Linked DNA regions of Callithrix jacchus. The protein of the gene in region 1 purifies or fractionates together with the protein of each later gene. This does not show direct contact. Links are inferred from orthologs where the notes say so. Each region holds a gene or a part of one and is shown on either strand. Other genes may lie near its edges. The genes, in order: OTUD5, SERBP1, KHDRBS1, CNP, CTPS2, EEF2 and melanoma-associated antigen D1.

What was found.
Region 2: the proteins of OTUD5 (region 1) and SERBP1 purify together in Homo sapiens (affinity purification with mass spectrometry, with the first as the bait; 3 studies listed by BioGRID). This does not show direct contact. The link is inferred for Callithrix jacchus from reciprocal best matches to the Homo sapiens genes OTUD5 and SERBP1.
Region 3: the proteins of OTUD5 (region 1) and KHDRBS1 purify together in Homo sapiens (affinity purification with mass spectrometry, with the first as the bait; 3 studies listed by BioGRID). This does not show direct contact. The link is inferred for Callithrix jacchus from reciprocal best matches to the Homo sapiens genes OTUD5 and KHDRBS1.
Region 4: the proteins of OTUD5 (region 1) and CNP purify together in Homo sapiens (affinity purification with mass spectrometry; 3 studies listed by BioGRID, with this or other methods). This does not show direct contact. The link is inferred for Callithrix jacchus from reciprocal best matches to the Homo sapiens genes OTUD5 and CNP.
Region 5: the proteins of OTUD5 (region 1) and CTPS2 purify together in Homo sapiens (affinity purification with mass spectrometry; 3 studies listed by BioGRID and IntAct, with this or other methods). This does not show direct contact. The link is inferred for Callithrix jacchus from reciprocal best matches to the Homo sapiens genes OTUD5 and CTPS2.
Region 6: the proteins of OTUD5 (region 1) and EEF2 purify together in Homo sapiens (affinity purification with mass spectrometry, with the first as the bait; 3 studies listed by BioGRID). This does not show direct contact. The link is inferred for Callithrix jacchus from reciprocal best matches to the Homo sapiens genes OTUD5 and EEF2.
Region 7: the proteins of OTUD5 (region 1) and melanoma-associated antigen D1 purify together in Homo sapiens (affinity purification with mass spectrometry, with the first as the bait; 3 studies listed by BioGRID). This does not show direct contact. The link is inferred for Callithrix jacchus from reciprocal best matches to the Homo sapiens genes OTUD5 and MAGED1.

Annotation. Positions count from the first base shown.
Region 1 is NC_133524.1:49,516,467-49,520,491, reverse strand, and holds the start of OTUD5 (OTU domain-containing protein 5), read left to right. Parts: upstream 1-1,225; 5' UTR 1,226-2,040; coding exon 2,041-2,634; intron 2,635-4,025. UniProt on the Homo sapiens protein: Deubiquitinating enzyme that functions as a negative regulator of the innate immune system. Has peptidase activity towards 'Lys-48'- and 'Lys-63'-linked polyubiquitin chains. Can also cleave 'Lys-11'-linked ubiquitin chains (in vitro).
Region 2 is NC_133508.1:104,660,193-104,663,692, forward strand, and holds part of SERBP1 (SERPINE1 mRNA-binding protein 1), read right to left. Parts: intron 2,342-3,500; coding exon 2,191-2,341; intron 1,305-2,190; coding exon 1,164-1,304; intron 1,055-1,163; coding exon 965-1,054; intron 333-964; coding exon 210-332; intron 1-209. UniProt on the Homo sapiens protein: Ribosome-binding protein that promotes ribosome hibernation, a process during which ribosomes are stabilized in an inactive state and preserved from proteasomal degradation.
Region 3 is NC_133508.1:68,627,093-68,631,179, reverse strand, and holds the start of KHDRBS1 (KH domain-containing, RNA-binding, signal transduction-associated protein 1), read right to left. Parts: upstream 2,801-4,087; 5' UTR 2,668-2,800; coding exon 2,286-2,667; intron 1-2,285. UniProt on the Homo sapiens protein: Recruited and tyrosine phosphorylated by several receptor systems, for example the T-cell, leptin and insulin receptors. Once phosphorylated, functions as an adapter protein in signal transduction cascades by binding to SH2 and SH3 domain-containing proteins.
Region 4 is NC_133506.1:91,255,877-91,259,040, forward strand, and holds part of CNP (2',3'-cyclic-nucleotide 3'-phosphodiesterase), read right to left. Parts: intron 735-3,164; coding exon 595-734; intron 1-594. UniProt on the Homo sapiens protein: Catalyzes the formation of 2'-nucleotide products from 2',3'-cyclic substrates. May participate in RNA metabolism in the myelinating cell, CNP is the third most abundant protein in central nervous system myelin.
Region 5 is NC_133524.1:16,988,841-16,993,058, forward strand, and holds the start of CTPS2 (CTP synthase 2), read right to left. Parts: upstream 2,801-4,218; 5' UTR 2,537-2,800; exon of another isoform or gene 2,459-2,536; intron 2,218-2,458; exon of another isoform or gene 1,611-2,217; intron 1-1,610. UniProt on the Homo sapiens protein: Catalyzes the ATP-dependent amination of UTP to CTP with either L-glutamine or ammonia as the source of nitrogen. Constitutes the rate-limiting enzyme in the synthesis of cytosine nucleotides.
Region 6 is NC_133523.1:3,731,580-3,734,859, forward strand, and holds the end of EEF2 (elongation factor 2), read right to left. Parts: intron 2,523-3,280; coding exon 2,169-2,522; intron 1,962-2,168; coding exon 1,779-1,961; intron 1,702-1,778; coding exon 1,569-1,701; intron 1,194-1,568; coding exon 1,000-1,193; 3' UTR 501-999; downstream 1-500. UniProt on the Homo sapiens protein: Catalyzes the GTP-dependent ribosomal translocation step during translation elongation.
Region 7 is NC_133524.1:52,079,036-52,083,298, reverse strand, and holds the start of melanoma-associated antigen D1, read right to left. Parts: upstream 2,801-4,263; 5' UTR 2,759-2,800; intron 1-2,758. UniProt on the Homo sapiens protein: Involved in the apoptotic response after nerve growth factor (NGF) binding in neuronal cells. Inhibits cell cycle progression, and facilitates NGFR-mediated apoptosis. May act as a regulator of the function of DLX family members.

The DNA.
Region 1 (4,025 bases):
ATTTATTATAGAGTGGAAATTGAGGATGGGTGCTCGCTTCCCAGCACATATACTAAAATTAGAACGATAGAGAAGATTAGCATGGCACCATTTGAAAGGATGACACGCGAATTTGTGAAGCGTTCCATTAAAAAAGTAAACAACAGGCCGGTGCGGTGGCTCACGCCTGTAATCCCAGCACTTTGGGAGGCCAAGGCAGGCGGATCAGGAGGTCAGGAGATCGAGACCATTCTGGCCAACATGGTGAAACTCCGTCTCTACTAAAATACAAAAAATTAGTCAGGTGTGGTGGTGTGCACCTGTAGTCTAAGCTACTCGGGAGGCTGAGGCAGGGGGATCCCTTGAACCCGGGAGGCGGAGGTTGCAGTGAGCGGAGATCGCACCACTGCACTCCAGCCTGGCGACAGAGAAAGACTCCGACTCAAAAAAAAAAAAAAGTAAACAACAACAATTGAGGACGGAGTGGATGCTAAATGACTTGCCAAAGATCACTCAGACAAGAAGGGCAGAGCTAGGATTAGTGTGTAGCTCTCCAGCCACTCAATAGCAGGGATTTTTGCCAACCCCATTGCGAGACGCTGACTGGTGACAGAGGTGGTTCATAAACCTCGATCGACCCAGGCAAACTTAGTTTTAGAAAAAGGCTAGGCTTGGCCAGGCACGGTGACTCATGCCTGTAATCCCAGCACTCTGGGAAGCTGAGGCGGGAGGATCCTTTGAGCCCAGGAGCTGTAGATCAGCCTGGCAACGTAGCGAGACTTTGTCCCTACAAAAAAAGTGAAAAAATAAATTAGCCGGGCGTGGTGGTGTGCACCTGTGGTCCCAGCTATTCGGGAGGCTGAGGCGGGAGAATCGCTTGAACCTGGGAGTTGGAGTCTACAGTGAGCTATGATCGCGCCACTGCATTCCAGCCTGGGCGACAGAGTGAGACCCTCGTCTCAATTAGGAAACAATTAAAAATAAAAAGGCTGGGCCGCTCCTGCGCACTAGCCATAGGGGCGGGGAGGTCACCGCGAGGGCGAGAGTGCTGTGTCGCCAGAGAAGGCGTGTCTGTTTCCCAAACAACCACTGTCCCCACGGTGCCTGTCGGTCCCAAGGTTGGTCGGTATGACGGGAGTGACGGCGTCTCTTAACCAATCACCGCAGAACTTAAGCTGTTGCTGGGGTGAAGCGGTGTCCACCTCCCCCGGAAGGGTATTTGCAGGGGGGTAATATCGGAAGTGACGCTCGAGAGGAATGCTGTGCTCTGGACTGTTGATGTTTTCCTGTCAGTCCGGCTGACAGCGTTCAAGTTGGAAGCCTGGAGGGGAGGCGTTTTTCCTTTCGTAGGTGAAACAGGCCACGCTGTCCGTCCACAGTTACGACGCCTGCAAGTGAGAGCTTCGGGGAGAAAAGTAAAGAGCAAGACGGGACCGACAGCAAGAAAGGCTGGGAACGAGGGTGTCGACTTTGACTGAAATTTGAGACGGAGGGCACCGGAGGGCAAGCACTCGCCTCTGATTGGCCCGTGGGCGTCGTCGGGGACCCACGCAGCTGCTCAATTGGTTGGTGTTAGCAATTGTTGTGGCAGCGGCGACGATTTTGCCCACGTACTTCGAGCGAGGGGCGGGGCTGTGCCCTGGCACGCGTGCGCAGCGCCCCGGGGCCCCACCCGGTAGTGCAAGAACCTGCGAGGGGGCGGAGTGAAGAGGTGCTTGTTTTGGTTCTGTCTCCTTTGAAGCAGAAGGCCAGAACGAGCGTAGCAATAAACTTGCTGGACTTGGAGAGAAGGCTACGACAAATTCGCCGCACTGCCTTCATCTTGGACTTCACATCCGGGTTCTCCCGGCGTGACCCGCGCGCCGTCGCCGCCACTGTCGCCGCCGCCACTGCCACCGCCGCCGCCGCCGCCGCCGCGGGTTCTCGGACCGGTGCCGCGATCTCTTTATCCGGGTCTCGCCGTTCCCGTCGTGCTTCGCGCACTACACTAGCCCCCTCATCCGGGTTCTCTCCCGGCGTGCTCTGCGCCGGGTTTGCTGGGGGGCACTCGGCGGTGAAGCCATGACTATACTCCCCAAAAAGAAGCCGCCGCCTCCCGACGCCGACCCTGCCAACGAGCCGCCGCCGCCCGGGCCGCTGCCCCCGGCGCCGCGGCGCGGCGGGGGTGTGGGCGTGGGCGGCGGCGGCACGGGCGTGGGCGGCGGCGATCGCGACCGTGACTCCGGCGTGGTGGGGGCCCGTCCTCGAGCTTCGCCACCGCCTCAAGGCCCGCTACCAGGACCACCGGGCGCTCTTCACCGCTGGGCACTGGCCGTGCCGCCTGGTGCAGTGGCGGGCCCTCGGCCACAACAGGCTTCTCCACCTCCTTGCGGGGGCCCAGGTGGGCCCGGCGGCGGGCCCGGTGACGCGCTGGGCGCAGCGGCGGCGGGTGTGGGTGCCGCGGGCGTGGTGGTGGGTGTGGGTGGTGCCGTAGGCGTGGGCGGCTGCTGCTCTGGGCCTGGCCACAGCAAGCGGCGACGTCAAGCTCCCGGGGTTGGCGCAGTTGGCGGGGGTAGTCCCGAGCGTGAGGAGGTCGGCGCAGGCTACAACAGTGAGGACGAGTATGAGGCTGCTGCAGCACGCATCGAGGCTATGGATCCTGCCACTGTCGAGCAGGTAAGAGCTGTGGGGTGATGGGTGGGCGGCTACGGTAGATGGGACCCCCACACTGTGAAGGTACCCGAAGGCTGTTTGAGATCTCCCCAAGGGATCTAGGCCTTTTCACTGGGCCTGACAGTCTTCTCTCGTGGTAGAGGTGTGAGACACCTTCTTTCCCCCCGTCTAGGGATTTGGGGCTAGAGGCCTACGGTGAAGTGGCAGACTTCCAAAGAGGACCTCGTAGAGATCCGAGGCCTCTTTTAGGGTCTGTAGTCGTCATTCCAGTTCCTGGGACCTCATCTTGTAGGGCCAATAGGTGGGAATTCTCCAAGAGACACAGGTAGGATCGAGCCCCTCTTGAACAGGAGTCTCAGGTTTCCCAAGAGACCTAGGTCTGTGTTCAGTGGCTTAAGAGCTCTTTTTCTCTGGGATAGAAGTTTGAGATTAGCCCTCTAGGGAAATCAAATAAAGTAGAGACCCCAGAGATGGGGTATGAACATCCCCAAGGAACCTAAGCCCCTTCAAGAGTCTGAGACACTCTGCATATAGGACAACCGTCTCCGCTTTGCTGGGTAATAGAACACAGGACCACTGAATAGCCAGACCTGAGACCTCAAGGGTCCTAACTCTGTCTTCAGGGGCCTGAGAATTCCTCTTCTAGAATCAAGGTCCTGATAAACACATAACGCCCTCTTTAAGGAGAGGGGTCTTCTAAGCTTTTTCCAGAGATATAAAACTTTTTGCAGGAAGATGATTCCCTTGCCCTTGGGGTCAGGGGCCAAAACCAACACCCAAGGACCGGCAGCTTTACTTGAGTACATGAGACTCATCCTCTTTCTGAGTGACAAAGGTCTTCATTTTCTATCAGTGGCCTGCAACCTACCTCTTTGGAGACAAGGGCCAGAACCTCTCTTCAGAATATTAAGCTCCCTGTAAGAAGAGATGGGCCCTCAAAGCCCCCACCTCCCACCAAGGGCCTGAAGCTTCTTCAGGAGAATGAGACTCAGAGGGTTGGATCCTAGGGCCTAAGATCTACCTTCTTACAGACTGAGGTGTTTTTTTTTTTTTTTTTTTTGAGACAGGGTTTCACCATATTGGTCAGGCTGGTCACGAATTCCTGACCTCAGGTGATCCACCCGCCTCAGCCTCCCAAAGTGCTGGGATTACAGGCGTGAGCCACTGCATCTGGCCCTGGACTGAGGTTTTTAGGGACTGAGTCTGAGGCCTCTTCAGGGGCCTGGTGCCCCGCTGCAGAGGTGAAGTCTTTAGGAGACCCTTCTTGAGACTGGTATCTGAGTGGTTTTGGGGGTCTCAGACTCCCCACTCCACAAGGATATGTGACCCTTTTACCTCAGTTATAAGGGACTGAAACATACCTTGGGGATACAATATCCCATCTTCTCTCTGTG
Region 2 (3,500 bases), on another chromosome or scaffold:
TGGAGACCTGGGTAATACAGTGAGACCTTGTCTCTATTCCCTGCCCCCCCCCCAAAAAACATTCTTTTAAATACTCTTTTAGGGATGAGAGTACAACCTCTCTTCCCAAAAACAAAAAGCCATCAACAACAACATTAAATCTATGGGTTATCTTACTGGATAAGTGCTTTCAATTCTGGGTCATTACTATTACACGCAAAACCACTTACTTATTTTCAGTGTCTGCCACTGGATGATGTTCTTCACCTTCAGGTGTTTCCTCAGTCACATTTGATTGCTCCAAGTCACTGTAATTATAAGATATTTGTTTCTGAATGTATTTGGGAGACTCTCTAAGGAAAGAAAAGAAAAAGAAAGGCATCTAGGTCCATTTACATGTAGTGGAAGAGTTCTTCATACAAAAATACCATAAGCCCTCACTTTCTCTAACTCCTTTCCTACTAAATATACTCCCCAGTAGACCTCCAAGGGGAAACAATATAAACTATTGGTTAAGTTAATTCATATACTTCATACTTAAAAAGTAACAGAACATAAACTGGTTATTCTAGTTGGGGAAAAATAAAAGGTAACAGAACAAGGCAGTTATTTCTAAAACAAAGCTTTAGTAGCTTATCAAATTATGTAATGATAACAAAGTCGAAAGCTAAAATAAGAACTATTAACGACACTAGAAAAATCAGAATACCCAAATAACCTTATTGTGGGGTTTCAAGAAAAGCTACAAATACACATTGAAAAAATGAGTAACGAATATATTAAAGTATAGAAAAACTGGCCATTCAATGCACTAGAACCCAAACCCATCCCATAAGACATTATCCTGTAATATAATAGCTCTCAGAAGAGAGGATTCATTCTTATCTCAGAGATAAGTAAAATTTAACACAGGTATGGATTAACCTTTAGTTAGGTACAGAATTTTATTAAAGTTAGCTTTGTTTTAAAAAATCAGAATACCAACGTTAATTCGTCTTTGACAGTTCCCCAGTTGTGAGATCCGCTACCTCCACGTTTGTCCTCGTGCTTCAGGCCACTGTAATGTGAAAAAGAACTAACAAAACTGAGTTAACATAATACTCTTTTGTTCTAGAAATTCAAAGTTTGTTTATTAAATAAATAGATTAAAATATTGAAATAAAATAAAAACCAGTAAGACTTACGATCTATCACTTCCACTATGCCTATCAAATTCACGTTTGCCACGAGAATCAAATCCATCTCCTCGGCCCATTCCACGTCCACGGCCCCCTCGACCTCTTCCAAGACCACCACGACCTCGAATAGGTCGGTCAATAATCGGTCTATAATATAAATAAATAAATTATACTTCCATAGTTTCCAGAAGAAATGAGGGAAATCCATTCAAAAGATCAAAAATACACAACATATTTACTGGCTCATAAACCAATAGTTTATGATTATCAATTCAACTAAAGTGTTTCCATTACCAGAGACCTAAGTTTGACAATGCACACATTCAGCTGTTTCTGTGAAAAACTAGTAGACACAACTAGACAGACTGCCACCTGGCAATTATGCCCAATTTATAGCTTAACATTAATATGTGACTCCATAGACTAACAAAATATGAGGACTTTTTTGGCTCATGCCCCAATGCTGCAGGAAGATAGCTTGAGCACAGGAACTCAAGACCAACCCATGCAATAAAATGACATCTCAGCTCTACAAAAAATTTTTTAAAATTAAGCTTTGTGGGCTGGGCGCGGTGGCTCAAGACTGTAATCCCAGCACTTTGGGAGGCCGAGGCGGGTGGATCCCAAGGTCAAGAGATTGAAACCATCCTGGTCAACATGGTGAAACCCCGTCTCTACTAAAAATACAAAAAATTAGCTGGGCATGGTGGCGCGTGCCTGTAATCCCAGCTACTCAGGAGGCTGAGGCAGGAGAATTGCCTGAACCCAGGAGGCGGATGTTGCGGTGAGCCGAGATAGCGCCATTGCACTCCAGCCTGGGTAGCAAGAGCGAAACTCCATCTCAAAAAAAAAAATTAAGCTTTGTGGCAGCGTTACCCTGTAGTCTGAGTTACTCAGGAGAAGGCTGACATGGTAAGATAGCTTGGGCCCAGGAAGCAGAGGCTGTAGTGAGTTGAGCTTGTACCACTGCACTCCAGCCTAGGCGACAGACCAAGACCCTGGCTCAAAAACAAAAAAAAAAAACACAACTTACCTATCAACTGAAAATTCACCCCCTTCACCCTTTTCTTCAAGTGGCTTTTCAAATCTTCGTTCACGAGGTGGTCGCCTTTCTGGTCTTCTATCAATTATTTTCCCTTCACCCTGAAGTTGTTGATCAGGTCTTCTTCCAACTCGTCTTATTCCTAAAACGATAGATAACCTGCATAAGCAAATTATTTTTGCAATACAAAAAGTTTAGGCCTGGACTATCAAAATCCACTTCTCTACCAATCCACTATCACTTCCTGTCGGAAAAAAGCTAACACTGGGCATCTCTAATGTCAACGAAGTACCTTAGCCAAACTGCCACTTAAAAGACAATGAACCTTGCAATCCATACCACTGACTAAATACATAAATAAAATTAAGACAATAAACTTGTTTTAAACTTCTATTCAGTTTGCCAAGTTATTCTCTCCCCAAAAGAATTTTCTATAACTGACTTGAAAGTCATTTGGGCAGCCATTTTTCCCATCACTTTCCAAGATATCAGCAGTCTCTTAATTAAGTTTTAAATTAAAAAAAATCTTAGGCAAGCAATACACTTTGGCTTTTAAAATGCCAAAGAAAATACGAGCAGCCATTCATAAATAACAAAGCAAATCATACACTCTCACTAGATATGGCCCCTCACAAAAGTGAAGGCCCCAATGTTATCCTACCTAATCTGAACAAAAATGCAATTAAGACTAATAATTCTATAAAATTACAAATCTGAAAGGAAAATATGGCATTTAGCATTATTAGAGAACATCACCTCAGTTTAAAACAGCCATTTAACCAGAAAAGGTGTCATCTTTTACAGTACTGTTAACTATAGGCACACAATAAGGGCCATCTTCCCCTATTAAATAGTTTAAAAATGCACAGCATATAAAGTGTATATATGTTTGTACACAGTATCACATCCCTAAGTACTTCCAAGTTAGGAAACATTTACTTACTATGGATGGAGAGTCCTCTTAAAAATGTGCCCTAACAACTATCTTTATTTTCAAAGAATCTTTAAAAACCAAATACACACACATAAGACCCCTTTTAAGCAATATGTAGAAAATAAGAAACTTGTGACACTCAGTGATAGCTGAAGCATTTATTAATTTCCCCCCCTTAACTGCTTTTTTCCTATAATATCTGAAACCCCACAATGGCAACCAATGTTATTAAATTATTGGTGGCCTTAAGGATCAATAGAGTGATGGTTAAATTAATGACTGTAAGATTGCCAGTATGCTGTAATTCCCAATTTCTAACAAAATCATAAAGCAGCCGAGGAATTGGTTTTACAAGACTTTAAGCTGC
Region 3 (4,087 bases), on another chromosome or scaffold:
GTGCCATTGCACTCCAGCCTGGGTAACAAGAGCAAAACTCTGTCTCAAAAAAAAAATTTAATGTAAAGTGCTCAGACACCAAACATTAAATATAGCTATATTTTTCTTCCATGTTTTTATTTTATTTTATTTTATTTTTTTGAGATAGGGTTTCACTTTTGTTGCCCAGGTGGTGTGCAATGGTCAGACGTGGGCTCACTGCAACCTCCATTTCCCGGGTTCAAGTGATTCTCTTGCCTCAGCCTCCCAAGTAGCTGGGATTACAGGTGTGTGTCACCATGCCCGGCTCATTTTGTATTTTTAATTTTTAATAGAGATGGGGTTTCACCATGGTGGTCAGGTTGGTCTCAAACTTCTGACCTCAAGTGATCCACCCTCCTCAGCCTCCCCAAGTGAGCTACCGGCGCCTGGCCCTTCCATTTGTTCTTACTAGAACTTAAATATTACTATTCTATCTTCTCAAAGTCTCACTTCTTCACAGTGGGTTGTGACTTCGCTGCAATTCCTTTGCAAGATAATTCAGAAGTACCTTAAAAGCCAGGCTCTGGCAGGGCGTGGTGTCTTACGCCTGTAATCCCAGAACTTTGGGAGGCCAAAGTGGGCGGATCATCTGAGGTCAGGAGTTCGAAACCAGAGTGAGCAAGAGGTGAAACCCCATCTCTACTAAAAATACAAAAATCAGTCAGGCATGGTGGCACTCGCCTGTAATCCCAGCTACTCAGGAGGCTGAGGCAGAAGAATCGCTTGAACCCGAAAGGTGGAGGCTGCAGTGAGGTAAGATAGCGCCACTACATTCCAGCCTGGGTGACAGTGAGACTCTGTCTCAGAAAAAATAAAAAGCCAGGCTCAATATACATTAACACTTATCAATGCCACAAAGAATCCATACATCCCGATTTCATTCTTTCAGTGAACCAACATTACCTCAAACACACTTACCAATTTCAGTTTGGTTTAAAGAAAAAAAAAAAAAATTCATCCAGAAAACAGAAGTTAAAAATAAAGAGCGCTCTCTTAGTTAAGCAGTGAGGGGAGACTGAAAATTACAGGGAACTTTTAAGGGTCAATAGTTTTTGACAGTTATCTTAAAAAAGCATAAAAGATGAACACCACATTGGTAAAGAGCCCTTAACTTACAGTGTTGGGAGACAGAACAAAGGGAGGGAGGTAATATTTTCATAACGAACTGTTCATTATATTAACCTTGCCATAGAGTCCAACCACTCATTCAGTGTTGAATGATGGGAATTTTTACTTGCATACTAAAATTTAAGTATCATAAGAAATATTTATTAAAATAATGTTTTAACTAGAAGTGGAGGTCAGACAGCTTTAGGGAAAAATCAGGGCGACTAGGTGATTGGCCAATGCTGATCAGAAAAAGAGCGCTAATCTACAGAACAAAGACTCATTTCTTTTTCACTACTGAATAAAATATGTAAAACAAAGCAACAAAAAGACCAAGACTTTCAGTACAAGCATCATGCAACTTCTCTCAATTTCTGTCCATCTCGTTGGGAAACGTCATGAGAACTACGCGGCAGTCCCTATCGTCCCATTTCAACGTCTCTAGGGTTATTTCACTCCTTCTTCAATGGTGAACCCACGGTGTAAAATTAAAGACAACCTTCAAGCTCAGTATAGCAATTCTTATTTTATCAGCCTTAGTAGGAAATCTGATTCGAAAACCTCAAGCTCCGATCCCCATAAATCGCTCCTTCCTCCCAGCAACTTAAGCTGCGGTTACCGCTAAGTCCGGCTCGGCCCCAGAGACAGCGACGCGCTGGACAGGGCATTCCAGCCTCACCCCACCTCACCTCGGCCTTTCCTCCCACGGCCCCTCCCCCGTTCTGGCTGTCTTCACCTCCCACACCTCGGTCGAGGGGCTCATTGCCACTCGCGATCAAAAAGGCTTCCCCCTCGGGGAAAGGGGGAAATACAGGTTCATTTCTGGAAGAATCTGCGCGCTCGGAGCGCGGGGCAGCCGCAGGAGGAGGGAGGAGTGAAGAGTCGGGAAAGGGGCGGGGAGCTCAGCACTATCCATCAAGATGTTAGCGCTAGGAGATCGCAAAGTCGCCTTCGGGCCTGCACTGCAGCCTAGAAATTCTCCCTCGCACTCCAGACTGAGGTGGGAATGTGGACTCCAGGGTCCCAAAAACGAAGATGAGACCGGAGCTCCCGACTTCCTCGGTCCCGAGGGGGCGGAAGGCGAGAGGAACAAAGCCAGGGCCACTCATGCCTTGGGATGGCCGGGCGACCCAGAGGGACCCGGGAGGCCCCCTTACCTGCCGTCAGCAGCTGCATGGCGTGAGTGAAGGACGGGTCGAGTGAGTCCTTCTCCGCCATGAGTTCGGGCAGGTACTTGTTCTCCGGCTCCATCTTGACCGAGGCTGTGGCTGAGGGGGGCAGCAGCGGGGTCGGAGCTGGCCCGCCCACTGTCGCGTCGGGACCCGTGGCCGAAGGCGGCAGCAGCGGTGGCGGCTGCGTGGCGGGCGAGGCGCGGGCACCTCCGCGGGATCCCCCTCCGCCTCCCCGGGACCGGTGAGGCAGCGGCGGCTGCCGAGACGGCGTCTGACGCACCGAGGGGTGGGCACCTGAAGGGTCCATGGAGCCGCTGCGGCCCGAGGACCGGCTCATGCGTGCGGCGGGGTCGTCCCGGCGCTGCATCGGGGAGGATGTGCGATCGAAGGAGTGAGAAAGCGACGCGGTAGCGGCGGAGGCCCGGGCGGCGGTTGGCGGGGGTGGGAGAGCGGGAGCGGTAGCGACCGAAGCCGACCCTAGCGACCCAGCGAGAGAGAGCACCGGAAATGAGGCGGCGCGCGTGCGCAGCCAGTCACCGGCACCGCCCTTGGGTTTCTCCGCGGAGAACAAAGTCCCCAGTCCAGCCACGGCGCCTGCGCACCACCGCGGCGTACGAAGAAGTGGCCTCCCGACTCCTGCTTTCCCTCCGCGCCCGCCAGGCCAGAATTTGGCGCGCATGCGCGGGAGGCTGCCGGCTCAGTTCGTTTCCTTTTCCACGTGACTCGGCGCTAGCGGGACACGTGGGTCCTTCCCCTTCTGGTTCAGTGGGCGGAGGGGGCGGGGGCTGTGGAATGTCTTTGTCTACGCGCGGGCCCGCCGAGTGTGGGGCGGGAGACCTGTTACTCGCCGGGCCACGCCCTCCAACGGCCGAAAGGCACGGACATTTTAGTGCGCAATGGGGTGGGGTGGTAAGGCGAGTAGCTTGGGGGCGGTCACTGAAGTGAGAAACTAAAAGGAGACTGCGGTGGGAGACCCAGAAAGGGAAGGGAGAGAGAACTGAGGCTGCCTAGGGAGGAAGAGAGGTGGGGGAGAGACAGAGACTGCACAAGGAGAAAGAAAGACTAAGGGAGAGTCTGACGCAGCAATAGCAGGGGAGATGGGGAAGGGAAACCTGGAGGGAGAAATTGAAGAAGGACGGCTTGGTGGAAACACTAAAAGCAATTGGAGGACTTGACCTAAGAGGGAGGGTTCGGATCAGAGACCTGAAGTCTAGCAAAGAAAAGGGCCCCAGACAGCAGGGAACACGAGAAGTCATTGCTAGTGTTATATATATTTCCAGTATTACATATATTGCAGTCGGTTCTAAAACGGTTGCCATTGCTGGTCAGGGAAATCTTAAAAGAAGCAGCATTTTAGCTCTTTTTACATATTTTACTGCTTTCTGTGACTTAACGTTTTGTTTAGCCGTCATTCTTGCCAGTTAAGTGTTTTTTCCGTCAAAAAGTGGGATAGAGACCAGATCCTTAATCGACGTTGGTTGCATCATTAGGATGGCTCCTTCTACCATTCCAGACTGGCTTAGAGAGACCCTTGCCACTACTCTCAAGGCCAAGGTACATACATAGTGGACAATCTTCAACGGCGTTCTCCACATCCTAGAGTGCTATATGCAAGTGGAGCCTTAGGTTCCTACTTGTCCCATAAACCATCAAAAGCCTAGTGCCTTAATTTTTCCTTCCCTCCACAGATTTTTTTTCTTCTCCCATTTAAAGCACTCGAGACTCCCATCCCTTTTCCTTTTGGATCATTTCTCCTAATGAGCCCACACTTTTCCAAAAGTCTTAGG
Region 4 (3,164 bases), on another chromosome or scaffold:
AGGGGAGCTTCCATTTGGGAGGATGCTCCAGTTAAACAACTGTAATAACCTACGCAGAGAAGTGGGAGGGTGGGCTTGGGGTTGGACACTTGGAGGAGGTTGGAGACTGCAGATCTGAGACATGCCTGGCATTCAAGCATCACCATCACCTGTGGCTGTGGGCGTAAGGTGCCGGCTGTGTGGTGCAGAAATGCCTAGTACCCTATTAGCCAATAAGCTTCACTCTCCTATGACACTCCCTCACTCTAAGGCCAGGCCTCAGGACTAGGGGCAAGGGACTCCTAGCCTTTGGAAGGTAACAGGGCCAGAGCAGGAGCCCACTGTGGACCAGCATTCTCCATGAATCTGCAGAAGGAGAAGGCGCCTGGGGGCAGGCGAATGCACAGGCTGCTGGTACTGCTGCAGCAGGCTCCTTAGAACCTGAAGCTGAGGTCTATGCAAATATGCCTGGGGACAGGGGAGCTAGGAGGAGATGCCATTTTTCTTGAGCTGACATCTGGTTTTTGGTCCCTGCCTGTCACTTGTACCCATCTGCAGAAGATGCTGCTGCCCCCACCCCCCACCTCTGCCATGTTGACCCTGGGGAAGACTCACATCTTGTTGAGCGTACTCCTCTGCCCCGGGGGCCTTCCCGTAGTCACAAAACTTGGTTGTGCAGTGCAGCACACCTGGGGGTCTCTTCCCAAAGTAGGTGACCAGATCAATCTTCTCCCTGGTCTCATCCCCAGAGAAAACTGCCGGGAGAAAAACGGTGCAGTCAGGGCAGGGGAGTAGAGGCATACCAACGCCTGCCACCAGGACCACAGAGGCCCAGAGCAAAACACTTCCGGCAACCCACAGAGCTCATTCATTCGTCAGTTGTTCAAACTAAAGGCAACTTTAGAGCTGTAAGAAGTTAAAATTCTCAGGCCGGGCGTGGTGACTTTCGCCTATAATTCCAGCACTTTGGGAGGTCAAGGCGGGTGAATCACGAGGTCAGGAGTTCAAGACCAGCCTGGCCAAGATGGTGAAACCCCCCTTCTACTAAAAATACAAAAAAAGTTAGCTGGGCATGACAGCAGGCGCCTGTAATCCCAGCTACCAGGGAGGCTGAGGCAGAAGAATTGCTTGAACCTGGGCGTTGGAGGTTATGGTGAGCTGAAATCCTGACACCACACTTCAGCCCAGGCAACAGAGCGAGACTCCATCTCAAAAAAAAAAAAAGTTAAAAATTCTCAGGCCAGGCATGGTGGCTCACGCCCGTAATCCCAGTACTTTGGGAGGCCAAGGTAGGTGGATCATGAGATCAGGAGTTCAAGACCAGCCTGGCCGATAGTGAAACCCCCCTCTCTACTAAAAATACAAAAAAATTAGCCAGGCATGGTGGTGGGTGCCTGTAACCCCAGCTAATCAGGAGGCTGAGACAGAGAATTGCTTGTACCCAGGAGGCAGAGGTGGCAGTGAGCCAAGATTGCGCCACTGCACTCCAGCCTGGGCAACAAAGTGAGAATGTGTCAAAAAAAAAAAAAAAAAAGTTAAAATTCTCCGGCTTTCTATTGTATAGATCTTTCTACCTCTTCCCCAAACTCTAAGGCATTTGTAACAGAGGCAGGCAGTACAGGCCAAGAGAATCTGAGATTTACCAGTCCCACATCTCAAAGGGGAAACAAGTCATGGGAAGTGGGGTGGAAAGAACAGAGTGCTGGGAACAACATGGTACTGTGGAAACAGCCAGAACACAGTGAACATCTTAGCCCTGCTGCTTACCAGCCATCAGCCTGGGGCAACTGACCGACCCTATCAATCCAGCATAACAGTTTAGGGCGACCGCACACCCCAGTGTTCCCAGGACTGCCAGGGAACTATCATTAGTGCCCCATTTCATTCAGAGATCCAAATGGACAAGCAGTCACAGGGTCACCAACAGTTGAATACACACCTTGCAGGCCTGTTTGGGGGATGAGAGCCTGTAGGGGGCCTCCTGGTACAAGAAGGGTCTTGGGCTATAATTGGGTGACATTATGGGGCTGGAAGACACAAAGAGGCATGGAGTATCTGTGATTTTGATTTCCAGAAGCCACACCTGTGGTTGTCTTCAGAGTTTTTCTGTTATATTCTAAGTTGAGCCCCTGTGAAGATGTCTCACCCTCCACAGGAGAGGAAGGCCGCTCCTGAGAGCAGCCTTGCTGGCCCATTACATTTCTCATGCTGTAACCCTGGGCAGAAAAGAATTCCAGTTTTTCATTTAAAGATAAAGTAGGCCAGACATGGTGGTTCACACCTGTAATCCCAGTACTGTGGGAGGCCAAGGCGGGCGGATCATAAGTCAGGACATGGAGACCTTTCTGGCTAACAAAGTGAAACCCTGTCTCTACTAAAAATACAAAAAATTAGCCAGGTGTGGTGGCAGGTACCTATAGTCCCAGCTACTCAGGAGGCTGAGGCAGAGAGATTGCAGTGAACTGAAATCACACCACTGTACTCCAGCCTGGGCAACAGAACAAGACTGTCTCAAAATAAAAAAAAAAAAAGAAAGAAAAAATAGGCTGGGCATCAACTTTCCAGCAACCCACATAGCTCATTCATTCATTAGCTGGTCACACTAATAGCAACTTTAGAGCTGTAAGAAGTTAAAATTCTCAAGCCCGGCGAGGTGGCTCACACCTGTAATCCAAGCACTTTGGGAGGCCAAGGCAGGGTGGATCATTTGAGGTCAGGCATTTGAGACTAGCCTGGCTAACATGGTGAAACTGTCTCTACTAAAAACACATAAATTAGCTGGGTGTGATGGTGGGTACCTGTAATCCCAGCTACTTGGGTGGCTGAGGCAGGAGAATCACTTGAACCCAGGAGATGGAGGTTGCAGTGAGCTGAGATTGCACCACTGCACTCCAGCCTGGACAACAGAATGAGACTGTGTCTCAAAATCAGTTAAAAAATAAAAGTAAAAGCAACTTTGAGCAGCAGTCATTCTAGGACAGAGCCACCAGCTCACAGGTACAGGGCTTGCTCCTGGATGATATCACTGCAAATACTACAGCTCAAGTTTAGGAACTGAGAAAAAAGTTATCTGAGAACCCACACAGGCACAAATTCCCTGCTTCTGTGCAATATACACAATGTCAACAAACCAGAGTGGGGCTATTTCAGGTATGAAGATCATCTAAAATTGGGGGCAGCTGGGC
Region 5 (4,218 bases), about 33 Mb from region 1:
TCAGATCATTTCCCTTGCATCTTTTTTTTTGTTGTTGCATTTTAGGTTTTGGGGTACATGTGAAGAACATGCAAGATAGTTGCATAGGTACACACGTGGCAGTGTGATTTGCTGCCTTCCTCCCCTTCACCTATATCTGCATCTTTAAGGGGTTTTCATTTCTTTTTTTCTTTTTTCCAGACAGAATCTCACTCTGTTGCCCAGGCTGGAGTGCAGTGTCACAATCTCAGTTCATTACAACCTCCACCTCCTGTATTCAAGCGATTCTCCTGCCTCAGCTTCATATATATATATATATATATATTTTTTTTTTTTTTTTTTTTTTAGTGGAGACGGGGTTTCACCATGTTAGCCAGGATGGTTTCGATCTCCTGACCTCAAGATCTGCCCACCTAGGCCTCCAAAAGTGCTGGGATTACAGGCGTGAGCCACCGTACCCAGCCAGGGGTTTTCATTTCTAAAGGCTCCTATGCCACATAAACCTATGACTCAATAAATTGTTACATTTCTCTCTTGTTAATTTATCTCTTGTTTAAGGCTGTCAGCCATGACCCTTAGGATGAGTAAAGAAACATTCGCTCTTTCCTCTCCTACATAAGCAATTACTCATTCTCTGTATTTTCAAAAACACCATACAGCTTTTTAAAGCATATTGGATTTTTTAGAAACCTTTTTTTAAAATGCAACTTAATACCAAGGAGACACTTAATTATTTCTACTTCTTTTAAGCAAACAAATAAGTTTAACAACGTTTCAAAGGTGCAGGGAAAGACTGGCCCTGTTTTAGATCACTTCCTCCATTTGGGATGGTTTCTGGTGTCATGGCAAGTTTTTCATTCACTCTTCCATGCAGTGAACAGAACCAAGTGTTTGTAGGATAGCACAGTGTCGAGTTATGCTGTCTCCACTATCTAATAAAAAATATTACACAGTCAGGTATGTAATTTTAAGTTTCTAGTAGCCATATTTTAAAAAGTAAAAAGAATCAAATGAAGGCCGGGCACGATGGCTCATGCCTGTAATCCCAACACTTTGGGAGGCCGAGGTGGGTGGGATCAACTGAGGTCGGGAGCTTGAGACCAGCCTGACCAACATGGAGAAACCCCATCTCTACTAAAAATACAAAATTGGCAGAGCACAGTGGTGCACGCCTATAGTCCCAGCTACTGGGAAGGCTGAGGCAAGAGAATCGCTTGAATCCGGGAGACAGACATTTCAGAGAGCCGAGATAGCCACTGCACTCCAGCCTGGGTGACAGAGGGAGACTCGTCTCAACAGAAAAAAAAAAAGAATCAAATGAAGTTCATGTTAATGTTATTTAACCCCATGTAGCCAAAAAATATTCATTTTTAACACATAATGTAAGAATGTATTAGTAAGATATTTTACATCTTTTTGTGTACTAAGCTTTCAGAAATCAGATGCCTATATCTAGAGCACATCTCAGTTCGGATTTTGCCACATTTCCAGTATTCAATAACAACATGTGGCCAGTGGCTCCCACCTTAGACCAGGCCAGCCAAGAGCAAATAAAAGCAGCGGAAGCACCCAGAGACAGCTTCCCAGTGATGGCCATTTTAAAATAATATTAGACACAAAAGAGTACTTACCAGATGATCTTGTTCTATGACGTTCTAGAACAGGCAAAACTAAGCTTGATAACAATCAGAACGGGGGTTGAGTGCGGGGCCTGGGGCTGCAAGGGCTAACTGGAGGGAGGGACCAAAGAGCTTTGCAGGGTAAAAGAAATGGTCAATGTTCACGTTGGGATAATGGTTACAGGAGGGTATAATTTGTCAAATCCCATCGATTTGCACACTAAAAACGGGGCATTTTATCGTATATAAACTATACATACAATCCTTTTTTATGTTGCCCCCCTCAAAAGGTATTTTGTAGCAGCAGCGTAGTTCGGCACTATTGCTCCCTAACCCTCCAGTACGGGGAAAAAGCGAGGGTCGTTGATTAACCGGTGCACTGGGACCGGGGAGAGGACAGAAAGGCCCTGTTACCGACGCTGATCACCAGCCTCGCCGACCCCCGCTTGGGGCTTTATTTCCAACAACGCCATCTCTGGCTCTCAGGCTCCCGAAGGCCGGGAGAAGTGGGGATCCCGGTACAGGCGCGGGGGCGGGCGGGGTAGGGGAAAAACCCGTCCCGGGGACTAGCGGGACAGGCTCCGACCGCACTGGGCCCAGGTCAGAGTCCCCCAGCCCCTGCGTCACACCCGGCAGCCGCGGTCGGCGAGCGCGGGATGCTGGACGCGGGGAGCTGGCGGCCGGACTCTGGACTCAGCGCTGGGGAGTGAGCGGGCGCCATCAGAGAGGGGACAAAGGAGTCCGGCCCTACAAATACCCCGGGGCTGGGGGTGCGGGGCGGAGAGGCCTTGGGGATGCGGGGCGGCCCGGGCGGGCGCCGAGGCCCTGGGGGTCTGGAACAGGCCCAGGAGGGAAGTTACCTGCGCAGTGATGGTAGCGCCGGGGAGGGTGGCCGACGGGGACGGTAGGCTCCAACCGGTTGCTGGCCTGGCGCTCACCTGTCGGATTGTAGAAGGGGACGCTGCCTGGGCTGTCCAAAGCCGCCCCCGCGATCTTCCCGCCGCCCACACGGGCCTCGGGGTGCGCAGCGCCCTCCTCGCCCACCTTCCCCTCTCCGCCCAGCTGCTGGCCCAGCTGACTCACGCTGCTGAGCTTGGGGTTTGCACCCGGGTTTGTGCAGTGGTCCAAAACAAGCGCCTAAAAAGTGATTCCTCCAGCACAGGCAGCTCCCGTCTCCCTCCTCTCTGGACGCACTGGGCCCCAAGCCTCGCCCCGCCCGGGTACCGCTCCTCCCTCCGCTGGCTCACTTTGCAAAGGCACTTCGAGTGCGCGAATGAACTCCACGCCTCCCGCAGAGCCCCCGCCCCCTGGCAGGCCGAGACCCTCGCTCGTGTCCTCCTGTCCAGATCTCACATTTGCAAAGGACTTTACTAGTCACAAACGTTTGTGAATCCCCTACTACACTCCAGGAACTGCAAGAGAATTCAGGAGAGAAGGAAAAGAAAATAGAATACCTGCCTTTGAGAGCTAGCTCACAGTCTGGTCCACCTGTCTGTTGGAAGCAGTAAGTCTCCCTAGAACTATACTCGTGCAGCAAAGAGCTGCGGGGGTGCGGGGAGGGGAGGAAGGCAATTAAGGCTTTGAAGAGTGACTTTTTTTTTTTTTTTGAGATGGAGAAGAGTGACCTTTAAGAGTATTTGGGCCGGGTGTGCGGTGGCTCACGCCTATAATCCCAGCACTTTGGGAGGCCGAGGTGGGTGGATCACCTGAGGTCGAGAGTTCAAGACCAGCCTGGCCAACGTGGTGAAACCCCTGTCTCTACTAAAAATGCAAAATTAGCTGGGTATGGTGGCGCCTGCCTGTAATCCCAGCTACTCCGGAGGCTGAGGCAGGGAGAATTGCTTGAACCCAGGAGGCAGAGGTTGCAGTGAGCTGAGATCACACCATTGCACTCCAGCCTGGGTGACACTAGAGACTCTGTCTCAAAAACAAACAAAAAAAGAGTATTGGAGGATGACTGGTGCTGGAAATGGATACAGGTGGTTTTTCAGTTGAAGGCAAGAAGCAAACCACTGAAGGAAGCTAACATGAACAATAGAAGGATCTGAAGTGAAATAGAAGGTTTTAGGAAAGTGGAGGAAATTTTGCATAACCGATGTGAGATGCTAGAGGAACAAGTTAGACAAGAGTCACTGAAGACCTAGTGGAGTTTAGAAACCATCATCATGTAGTGATGTCCAGCTATAATCTGGCAAGGTATCTGCAGAAATACAGCTCTTAGTGATGAAACGCAAGTTTGCTGCTTGCATAGAGTAGGACAATAGAGTGAGGAGGCAGAGGGCACAGAAAGACTGGGATTGCACTGATGGACCAGAGCTCTAGTCCTAGAGGACACGAACTATTAATAAAACCAGCAGGAAGCTGATGGACTGGCAAACAGATGAGAGAAGGGCTCCAAGGCCAGGGCCTCTGAGGAGAGGACTGGCAAACTGCCAGTGGAGAGTGTCGTGCTGGAGTCCAGGCCTTCAAATTGGTATTCCAGGAAACGAGACAGTTTGGGGTGCAGCAGCTACACTGGAATAGAAAAGTGAGATGGCCATCACTGGCCTCGGGTCTAGTGCCCACAAGAATGGTGCGTTGGACATCCAGGGTTCCAAAAGGATGGCAAGAGGTGGAGGAG
Region 6 (3,280 bases), on another chromosome or scaffold:
CCAGCTACTCGGATGGCTGACTGAGGTGGGATGCTTGAACCCAGGTGGTGGAGGCTGCGTACACCAGCCTAGATGACAAAGCAAGACTCTGTCTCAAAAGAAAGTTTAAAAGCAAGCAGGTGGGTTTCTAGCAAGCTCGTCAGGACCACAGAAACTTTGATGGCAGAGAGCTTGTGAGCTCACGAGCAAGTCGGAGGGTCGCTGAAGCCTCCAGATCCTTCCGGGAGCTGCACGGCCCACGGAAACACAGTGACCTCTTGTAATCTAGTTCTTTACCACGCTGATCCGACCTCCTTCAAGTGTGCAGTAGACCCACGAGGCGGGCAGCTGCTTCTCTGAACGACACAGGGGTAGGACATTCTCACCATTCCAGAACGTTCTAACAGAGGCAGCCCCAGGCTGCACCTAACTAAAGCCCGGGTCCCCTTCCAGGTTCTGGTGAACGCTGTGCAGGGCACCCCTGCTCCCCTGCTCAGACAGTGTAATAAAGACCCAGCATGGAGTCACCACCATAGCAGATTTATTATTCCAATGGCACTGGTACAAGCTGGAGGTGTGCATGGTGACGCCACACAGAACTTCCTGCCTGCCAGAAATCATCTATCTGCTTGTCCCTTTCCCCTTTCTGGGGCAAAAGCCACAACGGGCCAATTACCCAAATAAACCTCTTAATGCGTTTGTTAAATTTGTTTGGACATCTGAGTTTCCCTCTGAAGAAATGGAAAGTGTTGGGTGTCCCATCCCACCTCCCCCTCCCCCACAGGCCCAGTAAGTCCCTGCAAAGAGGGCATGTCTGCTGCCTCTGGACTCTGGAAATAAATATCGAAAGAAACAGCATCAAGTGTCGAGGTTGAGTGATGGCGCGCAGCGGGCCCCAGAAACCTCAGGGGAGCGTCGCTGTGTCGGGACACAGTCTCCAGGTGTTGTCTGAGAACGTGAGGACGTGGTGCTGTGGGTGCTGTGAGTCCCCGGGGTGGCAGATGCTGCAGGAGTTGCCGCCTACAATTTGTCCAGGAAGTTGTCCAGGGCCGGGATGCCTTCCTTCAGGCCCTTGCGCTTTCGGGTCTCTGCCACCACCTGGCTGGGGCGGCTGGTGTTGTCGAAGGGGTCTCCAGGCAGGATCTGCCAGTGGTCGAACACGCACTGGGGGAAGGCCTGACCGCCCGTGTTAGACCTCAGGTCGGCGGTGAAGCCTGCAGAGGGAAGCAAGAGGCTCACTGGGCCGCCAGGAAGGTGGCAGGCGGGAGAAGATGCTTCCTCAGCCAGTCACCCTGCAGACCAGAGACTCAGCCTGGTGCCCAGCACTTCACCAAGGGCCTGCTCAAAGGCCCCTCCTGGGACTCATGCCCCTGATCATTCTGGACGACTCTGTGCCAACAGCTCAGCTGCTCTACTGGCCGAGTCCTTCTCACCCTGAAGATGAGAGTGCCCTCCCTGGTGAATTGAGTGATTTTGGGGTCACATGCCCCATCGGCCACCTCCTTTAACCCCCTGCTCAGCTTAACTGGGCCTCTGTCCCACCTCCCTTGCTTGCTGGGCTCTGTGGGCCACGCCAGGCCGGAACTCACCGAAGGACTCATTGACGGGCAGGTATGCCTTGACGACAAACATGGGGGTACCGGCCACCTGAGACTCCTCAAACACATGGCCCCGCTTCCTGTTCAACACCCCATAGATGCCACCGACCACCTGCTCTGGGCACTGCCGGAGTGGAAGAGATACTGTCAATGGCCGTCAGGCAGGACAGGGGCAGGGGAGAGGCGGGTGGGGGGCCTCACCTGGATCTCCACCAAGTAGATGGGCTCCATGAGGCGCGGCTGGGCGGTCAGCACACTGGCGTAGAGGCAGCGCCGCGCCGTGGGGATGATCTGACCACCCCCGCGGTGGATGGCGTCGGCATGCAGGGTCACGTCATGGACGTCGAAGCGCACGCCCCGCATGTTCTCCTCACAAAGTGCACCCTGGGCAAGGGGAGAGCCGCCGTCTAGGGCTGAATGCACCCTGGCTGTTGCCCTCCCTCCCCATGCCAAGCCCTGCAGGTCTCCACTAAGGGAACTGGTCTTGCCCACCTCAGCCCCAGGGTCCCTTGTCCCAGAAGGCAGGACCCTAAGGTCCCTTCAAGACGCTGGAAGCATGGGTGTGGCCTGCCTATGGTGGCTGTGCCTCACCTCCTTGGTGGCCCACTGGAAGCCGGCCACCACGCTGTCCTTGATCTCGTTGAGGTACTGCACGCCCTTGGTGATGTCGGTGAGGATGTTGGGGCCGGTGCCGTCGGGCCCAAAGCACCAGATCTTTCGGGCCTCAGCCACATCCCACTCGTACTTCTCAGCCAGGTAGCGCGCCCGCTGCTTGAGCTCCTGGCGGGCAGACACCTCACCCTTGTCAATGTCCTCAGCCAGGCCATCGGGGAAGGGCCGTGCCTTCATGTACAGCCGGTTGTGCTTGTTGGGGGACTTGGAGAGACAGAGCACGTTGGACTCTTCACTGACCGTCTCACGGTAAGAGACGACAGGGTCAGATTTCTGCAGAAAGAAGAAAAAGGTCACACACCTGCCTGGAGAAAGCAGGAACTTAACACGCAGAGGCATCCTTAAAAAGATTTTCTCAGCAAGGCAGACTTAATACAGCCTGGCAGAGTCACACCAGTCAGAATCAAGGTGTCAAGTGATGCACCGGCAAACGTATCTCACCGCCACCTGGGACAAGGAGCAGGGCTCCACTGAGCTCTCCGGCACAGACAACCATGGGCTTGCCCAATTCTAAGCATCCATGGGCGAGAAACCAGGTCTGGAGCAGGCCTGGCCCGACCGCACTGAGCATTTATGTTTGTGGACAGAAGCCAGTGGGATGAGCGGTCTGTGAGGAACTCAGTCGGCTCCGCTGGCTGGGCACGGTGGCTCATGCCTATAGTCCTAGCAGCTTGGGGAGGACCAAGGCAGGTGGATCACGAAGTCAGGCGTTCTAGACTAGCCTGGCTAACATGGTGAAATCCAGCCTCCAATAAGCATACAAAAATCAGCTGAGCGTGGTGGCAGGCACCTGTAATCTCAGCTACTTGGGAAAGTGAGGCGGGAGAATCGCTTGAAGTCAGGAGATGGCAACTGCATTGAGCAGCGATGGCGCCACTGCGCTCCACCATCCAGGACTGGAACGAGACACCATCTCAAAACAAAACAGTCCCACTCGTCTGCAGAAGACCCTAATGAAGACCAAGGCCAAAATCAAGTCTAGGAGCCTGTGCAGAGCCCAGCTCAGCTTTAAAGCTGAGAGTGGGATTGAG
Region 7 (4,263 bases), about 2.6 Mb from region 1:
GAGCAAAACTCTGTCTCAAAAAAGAAAATTTTAGCTGGGTGTGGTGGGTGTGGTGGCATGTACCTGTAGTCCCAGCTACTCAGGAGGCTGAGGCACAAGGATCACTTGAGCCCAGGAGATCGAGGCTGCAGTGAGCTTTGATCATATGTCTGTACTCCAACCTAGGCAACAGAGCTAAACCCGGTCTCAATTAAAAAAAAAAAAAAAAAAAAAAAGAAAAGACAATCATGGAAATTTGAATATAGACTGAGTATTAGATGATATAAAAAATTATTATTGACTAGGTGCAGTGGCTCACACCAGTAAATCCCAGCACTTTGGGAGGCCAAGGTGGGTGGATCACCTGTGGTCCAGAGTTCGAGACCAACCTGACCAACATGGTGAATGAAACCCCATCTTTACTAAAACTACAAAAATTAGCCAAGCATGATGGCAGGCTCCTGTAATCCCAGATACTTGGGAGGTTGAGGCAGGAGAATCACTTGCCAGGAGGCAGAGGTTGCAGGGAGCCAAGATCACACCATTGCACTCCAGCCTGTGTAACAGAGCAAGACTCATCACAAAACAACAGAAAAAAAAAAAAGAAGAAATTATTTATCTTACTAAGTAAAATAATGATGTGGTGGTTACTTAATGCACCTATAAATTAGAGATACATAGTGAGTTATTTACCTGTGTGATGACATATCTGGGATGTGGGGAAAAAAACAGGTGAGGAGATGCACAGTGGGCTGAAACGAATGTGATAATATTTAAATGATACGTAATAATGATTTGAATAAACAGACATCAGCAATACTCTTTGGAAATGTTCCTAAGGGTTTTGGTGTCACAAAAGCTCTGCCTCATTGTGTATTCTTTTTTTTTTTTTTTTTTCTGAGATGGAGTTTCGCTCTTGTTGCCCAGGCTGGAGTGCAATGGCGCAATCTCGGTTCACTGCAACCTCCGCCCCTGGGTTCAAGCGATTCTCTTGCTTCAGCCTCCCGAGTAGCTGGGACTACAGGCATGCTAATTTTGTATTTTTAGTAGAGACAGGTTTCTCCATGTTGGTCAGACTGGTCTGGAACTCCCGACCTCAGGTGATCTGCCCGCCTTGGCCTCCCAAAGTGCTGAGATTACACACGTGAGCCACCGCGCCCAGCCTGTTTATTCTTTTTTTTTTTTTTTTTTTTTTTGAGACGAAGTTTCGCTCTTTTTACCCAGGCTGGAGTGCAATGGCGCGATCTCGGCTCACCGCAATCTCCGCCTCCTGGGTTCAGGCAATTCTCCTGCCTCAGCCTCCCGAGCAGCTGGGATTACAGGCATGCACCACCGTGCCCAGCTAATTTTTTGTAATTTTAGTAGAGACGGGGTTTCACCATGTTGACCAAGATGGTCTCGATCTCTTGACCTCGTGATCCACCCGCCTCGGCCTCCCAAAGTGCTGGGATTACAGGCTTGAGCCACCGCGCCTGGCCTGTTTATTCTTAAATAAAAACTATCCATGGCCTAGAAAAGAGGATCACCCCTTATTTTGGCAAGCATAACACACAGGAGGGAGTAAACTGCTTGTTCAAAGAAAACTTTGGTTAAATTCCTCTTTAGATTCTGATAGAGCCTGAAAAACTCTGATTCTCACCATAAATTTAATGATCATTTGAGTAAAGGCAATAATAAACTGTGATTATTATTTAATAACTGATGTTCTCACAAGATAAATTTGACATGGTAACAAATGTAACAGAAAAGTAATTTCATATTGCAACAAATAGATTATGTAATACTTGCAAAGCTCTGAGAAAAAGTCTTTGTCTCAAAAAATGTCAGCTTGGTGCTTAATGCTGCTATCAGAGACCAGAAAATAATTTGCATAATAAACTCAACTCATATAAAGTAATAAATTTGTGGCTGGATACCACGCCTGTCAACCATTTCTCCACTAACTTTTACAGGGGATGGGAAAGTTTACGCTCTCTGAAGCTCTGACACCTGGTTATAGGTATAATCCACTACGTTTGCCGCCCCCCCCAAAAAAATTTGGGGATTCAATCCTATGGCAACATAAAAAACAGATGCAACGAGAAGACAGAAATCTGTGCAATAGTATCTAAATGATGTGTAATTTTGTTTAGAGTTAAAAAAATAAAAGAACATAATTCGAACAAGTGCCTATGTCTCTTAGGGCTCTAAGGTTTCTGCTTCTTTCCTTCTACTTTAAAAGAACCAAAAAAGAAAAAAAAAAAAAAAAAAAAAGCCTTGACCTTGAAGTCACACCTACTTTTGCAAAGTACGTAATTCACTGGTCTCTGGAGGAGGGGAACGGGAAAGACCAAAGGCCAGCAGCGGGAGTAAAACAGGGTTTAGGAAGGGGCTTGCAAAGAGTCGCAGGCTAAAAGGATGCGGGGCAGAAGGCGGAGGTAAGAGGTAGGAGATAGGAGTGACCTGTGGTAGAGGGAATGTGATTGAGGGAATGACCCTGCCTCCAGACCGGAGAAGAGGATCTGGGATAAAGAAGAGAGGTGAAGCATGACCGAGAGTCAGGTAGATAAAAAGGACCACAAGAATCGGGAAGGGGAGTCGGATGGGACCTCCCATCTCCGGAGGAGAAGGGAGGAGACAGTGAAGCTATCAGAATCACATGCGTCAGAAGCATCCTTCCTACAACGTACGCGGGGATGAATTCTCCTTTCCACCCCATGTTGAGGCACAAAAGGAGGTCTCCCTGGAGTGTATCGGTATTTATATGTGAGAATTACCAAGACCCCTTCTTTACACTCACCTTGACGGAGAAGGCAGCGACGATGGCGTGACCGGAAGTGCTGTCCTCTTTTGTTTGGCGGAAGCTTTAGCTTCTGCAGCAGCCACCCCCTCCTTCACTTCAGGCGACTTCCTGTGCCTCTCTAGCAAGCTCTGCAATGCTCTATCTCATTGACTCCCTCACTAGATCAACACCTACATTGTGCTGTAAACGGGCTGAGAGAATCACGAACTTTTTACAAATCCTAGTTCTAGTCACGCCAGGAGCTGCAGTATCTCTGCCAAATCCATCAGGTGCAATTTGCCACCTCTCATTGATTCGCCTTAGAAATATCTCCCTTCATCTTAGTCCCTTAACTTAGGCCTCATTTTTCTCTGTCTTGGATGTCTACAGTGACATATTTACCAAACTGATTTACTGTTTCTGGCACACCACTTTGAAAAAATTCCATTTGTATTAGCGGTATGTGTCAACCTTTTCAAAACATCTTAAGTCTAAACAACTTTTGCTTTGAAATCGTATCCAGAGTTACATACCATACTCAAATGTCCAAAGAATAAAGCTGGACTCCTGTAGAAAGCATTCTTGCATTATTTTACATACTCCCCAAGAAAAGGAAGAAAATGAAAACTGAAAAAAATGTTTCAATAATTTTTTAAAAACTCTACTCTGGTTAAATACCTTCAGAACAAGTTTAACATTGAATTATTTATTGACACTACCTCCAGAAAGTTCTCCTGGCCCCCAAATCTAGACCACAGTTCTCACCAAAGGGGAGGATCTCTTTTTGTGGTTATTTTTAGTCAATCCACAAGTATATACTGAGCACCTACTATGTCCCAAATACTATGCTACACCCAGAGACACTACACTAGAAGCCCACAGCCTAGAGCTAAAATGACATTTAAACACTTAAGAGCCTAGCATAAAATATGTGTTTATCAATATTTGTTAAATTAATAAATGACCAAAATGTGGTCAGAGCAAAGAAGGAAACTAGCAATAAGGTCCTTAGTTTTGTTGGCATTTTTACAATTTATTTCAACAATTTGAATCACATTTCCCACTAAACAGTGCTTTAGCTGAATCCCATCAATCTTCATATTTTGTATTTTGATATTTTTATATATTGATTTTATCTTTGTAGTTCCTTTTTTTTTTTCTTTAGTAAGACAGGGTTTCACTCTGTTGTCCAGGCTGGAGTGCATTGGCATGATAATAATTCACTGTAACCTCAAATTCCTAAGCTCAAGTGCTCCTCCTGCCTCAGCCTTCTGAGTAGCTAGACTACAGAAGCATACCACTATGCCTAGCTAATCCTTTTTATTTTTTGTAGAGATGGGGTCTTGCTTCCTTACCTAGGCTGCTCTTGAACTCCTGGGATTACAGACATGAGCCATTGTGTCCAGCCTGTACTTCCTCTTTGACCCATGGGTTCTTTAGAAATGCATGTTTAATTTCCTGTTATTTTTCCACTGTTGGATTTTTATGATCAGCAAACTTACAGTATATTATTTCAGTTCTTA